2 linked regions of the Danio rerio genome follow. The protein of the gene in region 1 purifies or fractionates together with the protein of each later gene. This does not show direct contact. Links are inferred from orthologs where the notes say so. Each region holds a gene or a part of one and is shown on either strand. Other genes may lie near its edges.

What was found.
Region 2: the proteins of naa30 (region 1) and naa38 purify together in Homo sapiens (co-immunoprecipitation; 3 studies listed by BioGRID and IntAct, with this or other methods). This does not show direct contact. The link is inferred for Danio rerio from reciprocal best matches to the Homo sapiens genes NAA30 and NAA38.

Annotation. Positions count from the first base shown.
Region 1 is NC_133192.1:49,448,733-49,453,299, reverse strand, and holds the start of naa30 (N-alpha-acetyltransferase 30), read right to left. Parts: upstream 3,048-4,567; 5' UTR 2,855-3,047; coding exon 2,081-2,854; exon of another isoform or gene 1,889-2,080; intron 1-1,888. UniProt on the Homo sapiens protein: Catalytic subunit of the N-terminal acetyltransferase C (NatC) complex. Catalyzes acetylation of the N-terminal methionine residues of peptides beginning with Met-Leu-Ala and Met-Leu-Gly.
Region 2 is NC_133180.1:59,192,366-59,196,883, forward strand, and holds the start of naa38 (N-alpha-acetyltransferase 38, NatC auxiliary subunit), read left to right. Parts: upstream 1-1,701; 5' UTR 1,702-1,737; coding exon 1,738-1,782; intron 1,783-4,394; exon of another isoform or gene 4,395-4,454; intron 4,455-4,518.

The sequences.
Region 1 (4,567 bases):
ATAGGACAATTATCGAAACTCTAGCCATTTTTGAGCAGGACGCTAATGTTCTAACCTGATTTAATAATCTATGCTAAGCTAAGCTAAAAGTTTCCCCTCGAGACCCAGAGATCGACTGCATGGATTTAAAAAAAATTATAAAACTCAACTGTTTAACTCTAGGGGACTTGTTAAATGAGGTTATTAAAAAAAAAGTGAATTTCCTTAAAGACCACTAAAATGAATATTAACTATATTTCACACAGAAGCCAGGGAATTTGCAAGCAAGTTTAAAAAAAAACTGAGGAGAAAGAAAATGAAGTCAACAATTTACAGTACAACCCTTTAAGTTTAGCTTGTTACTGTAATGCTTAAGAGTTCAACACCCTGCACTCGCACCACTACTCACTGAGCATGTACAATCATTGGAGTGACTCCAGTCAGTGCAGAATTATGATGCATGTCAACATAGATTAGAGACCAAGTTACATTAAAAAAATAATAATAAAAAAAACTACTAGTTTTTAAAGATGCTACTGGAAAGGAATAGGTCTTTAAGGATGACATATAGTCATGTTGTGTTTTTGAGAAATACCATGTTCTACACTTTAACATCCACTTATAAATTATAAAAGTTAGGAAATTACTAATCAATCAATAGCATTTTATACATCAAATGAGTAACAACCAAACTTCTATAATGGATATGTCAATGGAGGTTAAATTTTGTCACTTAACATTCAGCAGCAGAATACTTTTTGATAGCATATTTTTCACATGAAAAATCCCTGCTAAAAGAGTAATTCAAATGACTTCACAAGATGAAATTAATCAAAACTTCACTATATGATAAACCTTTGGATCCATGTTTTTTTTTTGTATAAATCATATACATTTATACATGTTCAGATGATCTTAGTAGCATTGTTTAACAGGTGCAACGTCATACCACGGTGATATGCACATAACACTTGATATTATCTTTTTCCTTCTAAATATTATTTTTTTTTGCATAAAAACAATATCTTATAAAGACAATGTATCTATCAAGGAGGAAAACAAGGTAAATATCAGAGAAGGGGTCTAATGTGGTAAAACATGTACATAAACTAAACTTTGATATCACTTTAAAGGGAGAGTTTACCCAGGAATGACAATTCTGTTACCATTTTCTAACCTTTTACTTGTTACAAAACAGTTAAAGTTTTTTTTTTGTTGTTCTTTTGAACATAAAATAAGTTATATTGGAGAAGAATGGTGGACACATGTATCAATTGACTACTAAGTCAATGGTTACAAACTTTCAACATTCTTCAATAGAGGTAAAGTTGGTTTTATATTCGGACATTCAGACATTTACCTTGATAATGTGATTTCAAAAAAGTATTATTTGCCAATTTTTAAGAGGGAAATCATATTAATAGCCAATGACTATTAAAGTACAACATTGCTCACAGATAACTAAATGGTGCTAATGTTGTTTTCATGTTCTTGCATGCTAATTCAGACCAATATATTAAAAGTAGCACAGTTAAACAATATAGGGGCCGTTAAATGAATGAATGTGCGAATTTAAATCTAACTTTACCTCAATCATTCTCCAGAATATCTTTTGCGGTTAATAGATAGATGAATTTAATAGATAATTTCAATGATTACAGTAACATTATTGTCATTTTGTTGTAAACTATCCCTTTAACAAACGGGGCATATAAAAACAAATAAACAAACATATCACCTACAATGAAATGGTAAGTTTTGCGACTACATTTCTAAATGGTCATGTTTTGTTTTTGACAAAAACCATGGTGAAATGTAGCGTAATGTCATGCTCATTCCAGTCAGGCTAAGATGCTAACATGATCATGTCGTGTTTTTAACACATTCTGTTTCATGTTAATTTCTTGACTTACAATAATATAAACATTAATAGTAATTACCAGAGTAATAACAACAGGAAATAATCTTTTGTTAACGTTAACCATGACAACATCACACACAACTCACACGTTGTTGTATCAGAGATGGTTTTGAAAGCTAACGTACAGCAGTACTGAGCTCTTCAGTCCCATCAAGAATAAGCGAATGTCATGATACATACCAGAAAGCAGAGCTGAGGCCAGTTGTGAATAAAGTACCTATAGGTGTATATGGAGTAGGGCTCAGATAAGTCTTTCGTTATGAGTCGGATGATATCGGGCATCTGGAGCTCGGACTCGTATCTCACGTATCGGATAGACTCGTCGTGCTCCTCCAGCGCCAGTCTCGACATCTCCGCAACCGGAGCGCTGTCAGCCGCTGCCTGCTCAACTCCAGCGGCCTGCGGGCCCGGGCCTGATTCTGATCCAGCCCCGTCCAGCACCAGCGTCGCCGCATCCGCCGCACCAGTCCTACTACTTACATCGTTCTCTGGTCGGCAAGAGCTGCTCTCCGTGATCGCCATGCCGTCCGTGCAGTTTAGTCCGTTGTTCGGCGGCGGTTGACTCTGGGATATTAGATCACTACATCTTTTATTTCGCGTGCAGTTGTTGTTTTCCGTGTGATCGCCCTCCGGTTCGCCGTGGTGATCGGAAGCGGCGTTTTGATTGTCTGACGGCCGGTGTTGCTGGACGTGATTCTGGAGGTGAGTGTGGTTGCACTGGACCCCGTTCAGCTGGGCTGTGTGAAACTGGGCGGCTGTTGCGTTGGGATGCACGTTGTTCTGGTTGGATTTGGCTATCGTTTTATGCTCGCTGGCGTGCTGGTGTCCCGGGCCGGGGCCGATGATGTCCCGTCCGTCATCTTTACCCAGTAAGGTGCACCCGTCCACGGGCAGCGGTGTGATCTCGCTCGGGGATGAAGGCAGTGCGTTAGGCCCAGGCGGCACTTCAGCCATTCCACTGCATACAGTTGCTATGTTGACAGAAAAACGGGGTGGGAATCAGCCTCTCTCAGCCAACGGCGACGAAGACAGGCGTCCGTCCGGCTGCTGGTACCTGATAAATTTAGGAATCACTCAAAGTTCGTGGACTATCTCGTGTCTGTTCCTGCCATTACTCAATTCACTCCACACTGGCCTATTATCTGCCGTAAAGCAGGGTGGATGATTTACGACACTATGTCGGCGCTTCGGCGTAAAGGTTGCCGGGAAATTGAGTTGTTGATGTATCACACTGTACTTCCTGGATGACTTTGGGGTTTAGTGGGTTACGTTAGGGTTTCACGGCGCACGATGCATTTTTTATTTAGTATATTAATACGTCGTTCTCATGAATAAATTCTTAACAACAATTTTCATTAAATGTCACGTGAAATATCAAATATCACTGAATGTATCATAATTCATGTATCACGTATATTCGATTGAGATGAACATGGATACGTATTGCACCTGCTGCTTAACTGAAAGTTTAAATGGGATGTTAGATTTACATTTGTTAAAGCAAAGACAAAATGCATGCTGTAAATATTCTGTTAGTTTTATTAAAGTTGCAAATTGTATTTTTATCCATCCGGATACATGATTTTTTTAAGAGGAATAGATATTTTAGACAAGGAGATGGATATAAGTCATACAGTTTGCAACTGTTTGTTAGTTAAACGTTTTTGTATGTTTGTTTTGTTCATTGAGTATTGGTTTAATTTATTAGAAGGTCATATGTAGGCTAATTATGCTTAATTAAGCTGTCTTAGTAAATGTTGTTATATGACAGCCTTTCTGTTGTTAATCATAATAAAGTTTTCTTTAAAATTTTCTGGCCAATGCTATTTTGACGTCACAAGATCTGTCCTTGTAACTGGTTTAGAAACAACAGCTGACTGCACAAATATATGTAGGCTACATTTTAATTACATCCAAACAAGTAATACTTTTTAAAGAAACGTGGAATTTAATTAACTTAAAAACCATTTAAACCATGATTTCAAACCATGACCTTCGCAAAGTCACTTGGCTACAGACAGTTCTCATTTGCTTTTATCGTTTTAGATGACAATGCTAAATACGTTTTCCAAGAAGAGCCACTAGATGGACCCAGACATCCAATTATGTGAGACGTTTCCCCGGGGTCCCACCGTGGGTGTTCATGGATGTACCATGAAGTACATCCATGTGGAGTATCAAAACCAAATGCAGGCCCGTAGCCAAAGGCTTCGGGTTGTTCGAAAGACCCACCTCTCACTGGCAACTGTCCAAAATTTGTCTCATAGATGTCCTCATTTGTACTATTTTGACTGCTATGCCATCATAAATAATAGTGAAAATAACCCATCGAAAATGGCTTTAAAACCAAGTGGAATCCTTGGCTGTTGTTTCAGTGTGACTTCAGCTAATCAGTTTTGATTAATACAAAGTGCTAACTATCATTCCAAAATGCAGCTGTGCAAGAGAACACGATTTGACGTAAGTGAAGTCATCTTTCTCTGCTGTATTATTTTTAAATAGCATTTAGCAAGTAACTTTTGTTTTAAATCTGGGACCTACTGAAAAAAAAAAAAAAAACTGACCAGTAAAAAGGTGTGAGGCACCAAAAGCGTCCCATATTAAAATAATTTAAATATTAATTTGGCTAGGCCTAATGTTGTTATCCATGAATATTCAATTGTACTT
Region 2 (4,518 bases), on another chromosome or scaffold:
CCATGTTTCCTCATTTCTTTTTCATTTTTTGTTTGTTTTGTTTTCCCCATTGTTTTGTTATGTTACTTTTAAGTCAATTTATAGTGTTCTTATTTTAGAAACATTCAAAGAAATGGAAAAGGAAAAATCTCTATACGGTTTGTAGCTGCAGAGCCATTTGAGCAGAGCTGAGCTCCAGCGAGGGGGAGCATGAGCTCTAGCTCTGCCTCCTGTAAGCTGTTTTAATGCGTACACCAACCCAACCCCTAACCCTACCCCCAGTGTCATCACTCGAAGAAGAAGTGCTAAAAAGGTGGAGCTCAAGCTCCCCTTCGCTGGAGCTCAGCTCACCCAAATGGCTCTGCAGCGACCACCACTTGACTATATTCTCTGTTTGATTGGTATACCGTTATTTATTTTATTTTTTTTAATTCAGATTGGTCAATGGTCCATTTTAACGATAGGTGGCGGTAATGTACGTAGAAGCCTGGTCAATGGTCCATTTTAGCGATAGGTGGCGGTAATGTACGTAGAAGCCTGGTATCTACCGTAAAGCAAACTGTTTAAGAAGGAGAAAGTATGCACATGGTCCGGAGGCTCTAAAGCTGCGTCCCAAATCGCATACTTATGCACTATTTTACACCATTTTGTAGTATAAATAGTGTTAGTAGTGTACTTTAATTACCCGGATGATGCACTCATTCAGCCGCTAAAATGAAGTGTGGAATGATGGACACTTCACGCACTCAACGACCGCAGGTTTGCTTACTTAGCGGAAGGGGCGGAGCGATCGGACGCACATGTTGAACAACTTTATTTATTTTGGATGGTGAAAGCAAAATTCTCCTACGAGAGTGATTATAGCGCCTCCCGATGGTGAATGCAGCAATACTCACGGCAGGTATTACTTGATAATTCAGTCGTTTATTTCACTGATTTGGCAACAGTCAAACGTCATCAGGGAAACGGTTTGAATTTCCGCTTAGTAAAAATACATAAGTGTGCCATTTGGGACGACACTACATACATATACTATCCTGTTGAGTGTGTAAGTGCATATAAGTACATAGTGCATGAGTGCATAGTGTATAGTGTGCCATTTGGGACGCAGCTTAAGAGAAGCTGCGTCCCAAATCGCATACTTATGCACTATTCTACGCCATTTTGTAGTATAAACAGTGTAAGTAGTGCGTTCACACTGAAAACTCTAATAATAATAAGTGCACTTTAATTACCCGGATGATGCACTCATTCAGCGCTAAAATGAAGTGTGTAATGATGGACACTTCACGCACTCAACGACCGCAGGTTTGCTTACGTAGCGGAAGGGGCGGAGCTATCGGACGCACATGTTGAATAACTTTATTTAATTTGGATGGTGAAAGCAAAATTCTTTTACGAGAGTGATTATAGCGCCTCCCGATAGTGATTGCGGCAAACCTCACGGCAGGTATTATTTGATAATTCGGCCGTTTACTTCAATGATTTGGCATCAGGGAAACGGTTTGAATTTCCCGCTTAGTAAAAAAAAAAACATTAGTGTGCCATTTGGGACAACACTACATACATATACTACCCTGTTGAGTGTGTAAGTGCATAAGTACATAGTGCATGAGTGCATAGTGTATAGTGTGCCATTTAGGACGCAGCTAGTGTCTCTGATCCATAACCCACAGTAGGTGGCGGTAATGCTCTGATAAGAATGCGAACCGCCAATAAACACCAGGAAAAAGAAGAAGAAGAAGTCCGGAGGCTCTAATGGCATCACAGAGGGAAGAGAACAGCACACAAATGCAAAATGAGGTATGGCTAAATAGACCTGCACCTACCTTAATCACACAGCGTTATTTCTTATATGTGAACTTCTAAAGTGTCGAATGGCGTTGTGTATGACTTTATGTGTATACAATATGATCCGATCAATGCGCAATGAGAAACGACAACGATGAAGTAGTGTTATAAAAGCGACTTGTGTAAATATCTTAATCTTAATATTGTTTTATTCGGAACAATGCATACCGATGTCCCTGTAGCCATAAGCGAGTTTGTTTATATGCATGTTCCTAACCAGAAGATGCTTGATGAGCCCGACATATAAACGCACAACAACTAAAGGAGTGCTTTTTTTTATAAGATTTAAATTGAAAAATGTCTCTATTCAAGCATGCATGCGAATTTTTGCCCCCAAATACCCTGCAGTTAAGTTTAATAGTTAACACTGCCACTCTTTAAGAATGATTAAAAACGTTTTTGTTTGACCTTTTAAATGCTTTAAGTTTGTGCACTAACGTTAGTCCCCTTTTCTCATCTTCTGCTGTTGTGATGCGTTGTTCTTTGCAAATAGACATTAAATTATTACGTTGTTTACACTTGCTTACTGACTTTTTAAACTGAGCAGTGTAACTTGTCGTTCCTATATGTATGTTTGTTTGACTGTGTTGTTAAGTTAGCAATGATTTGGCATGTTCAGTCCATGTGAGATGGCCAGTCACGGTTACATAAAAATATATATTACATTTTCAAGGAGGACAACATGACTTGAAAACGCTATGCCATTGCTTTGTGGATTCAAAATAAAAGCATTTTAAAGCAAAGAAAACGCACAGGATGTATTTTCTGCAGATTCTTTGAACTTGATTTAGCATCATAAAAATAAGATTTTAATAAGTGTAATAGTCTCATAGGAGGAGCTTGATGGATAGGCACTGACTCCATATTCAAAAGTCTGTGTTTTAATCAGTCTACACTGAAACTCCGCCATAGCGTTTTCTAACCAAAATTAGTTCAACATTTTCAAATTGATCTTTTACAGGTCAAAGATGCTGTATTTGGGGTTACTCTATAGTAGAACTTAATTGTTTTAACCGGTTTTAACTGAAAACACTATAATGCAAATACAGCCTAGTATAAGCATGATATCTTTACAGAAAACCTAATCTGTTTAGAAAGTCAGCCATCTAATTGTTCTTTATGTAATCATTGTTTATGCATTACACAGACACCTTAACCCCTGATTCAGAATCAATTTACTAAACATTAGTTTTGCAAATTAAATGTAACCACTGTTTTTTATGGTTCAGATGGAGAGAGTCTGTGGAGAGTCCCGTCTTCATTGGTGCACAAATGACTTTTTGCTCTGACATTGTAGCTTTTCACTGGCTATTTTAAAGAGCATATTGTAGGTTAGACACCCCAGTGAGACAATGTGTGTAAGAGTGAAGTAAGAATTAGATTTTCTTTAAAATAAACGTTAAAGTTTATTATTAAGCCATTTGGAGTCGTTTTAAGTCACGGAAATTTACTTCTGCATTTGAATCGCCAGACCAGAAGTGACGTCTGATCAGGGAGTTTGCGCATATAAACACTATGAAGACAAAAAAAAAAAAAAAAACACACTATGAAGACAACTGATCGTGGTGCGCGTTTGGTTGCCGCAATAAGACATTCTGAGAGACTCACACAAATGACAGACCACAGCCATACAATTATAAGCCTGCGGACAGACCAGCAGACAGAACAGCAGTCTGAGAAGTGTAATTTAACTCTATTGTAAGGGAGAACAGAGCAGGTTTATGGTGAGGCCAGTGTTGGCTTACAGAGAGATATGTAAGATAACAAAATCTTATCTGGCAACAGCAAAGCTAGTATTGATCATCTATAAGTATTAATACTTACCAGTAACAGAAACTAATGAGCATTTAACACAGTTATGCCACATTGACACTATTTTTAATAGTAGACAAGTGAATACAAAACACAAATAACACAGAACGTCTAGAATAATACAGAAACATGTCAACAAGGTACTGGAAAATCTTTTTTATTTTACAAATAGTTTTCAGAGCTTCTGTATTAATATAAAAACAACATCAAATATTAAAACAATTAAAATAAGTTTTTAAATATGTCTTTTTGTCATTTTTTCATTGGGTATAAGGTTATCTGTATCGGATCCCATTTAGGCTACAATCCATAAAAAGACAAGTATAGTTGTTACAGTATAAAATATTTACAAAGATTTGATCAACAGATCTAATCTGCATTATGATTAAATAAACTTCAACCCTAATTCAAGTTCAAATTCTAAATGCAACCCAAGGTCGATTTTTATTTATATAGCACAAAATCATAAGCAGTGTTAATACCCAGCATTTTTACTCTTTATATATGTATAAGTATCTGTGTGAGTGTGTGTATACTGAAAGGAAAATATATCATCTGACCCATTTAAAAGTATTTAAAATTATTTTTCAGTAAGTTGGCCAACGCTTATGTGGGTACCACACCATCATGTCTTTAATGTGTTAAATTGTGAATGCTGTGTAAAAAGATGCCGACAGCTTCATCCTTGTAAACCCGCTGGAAGGATCTAGAAAGGAGAGCAAGTGTAGTGCAAAGTTCTGCATTCTCGTCGAGCCTGTGATGAACTCCAGTAGTCCACCGTCAGACACGCAGTGAGGGCTGATGCATATAATCTGGGGAAATAATGCAAAAGTTTAAATCATGTTTATTAATAATATATATTTTAAAATTCACCAT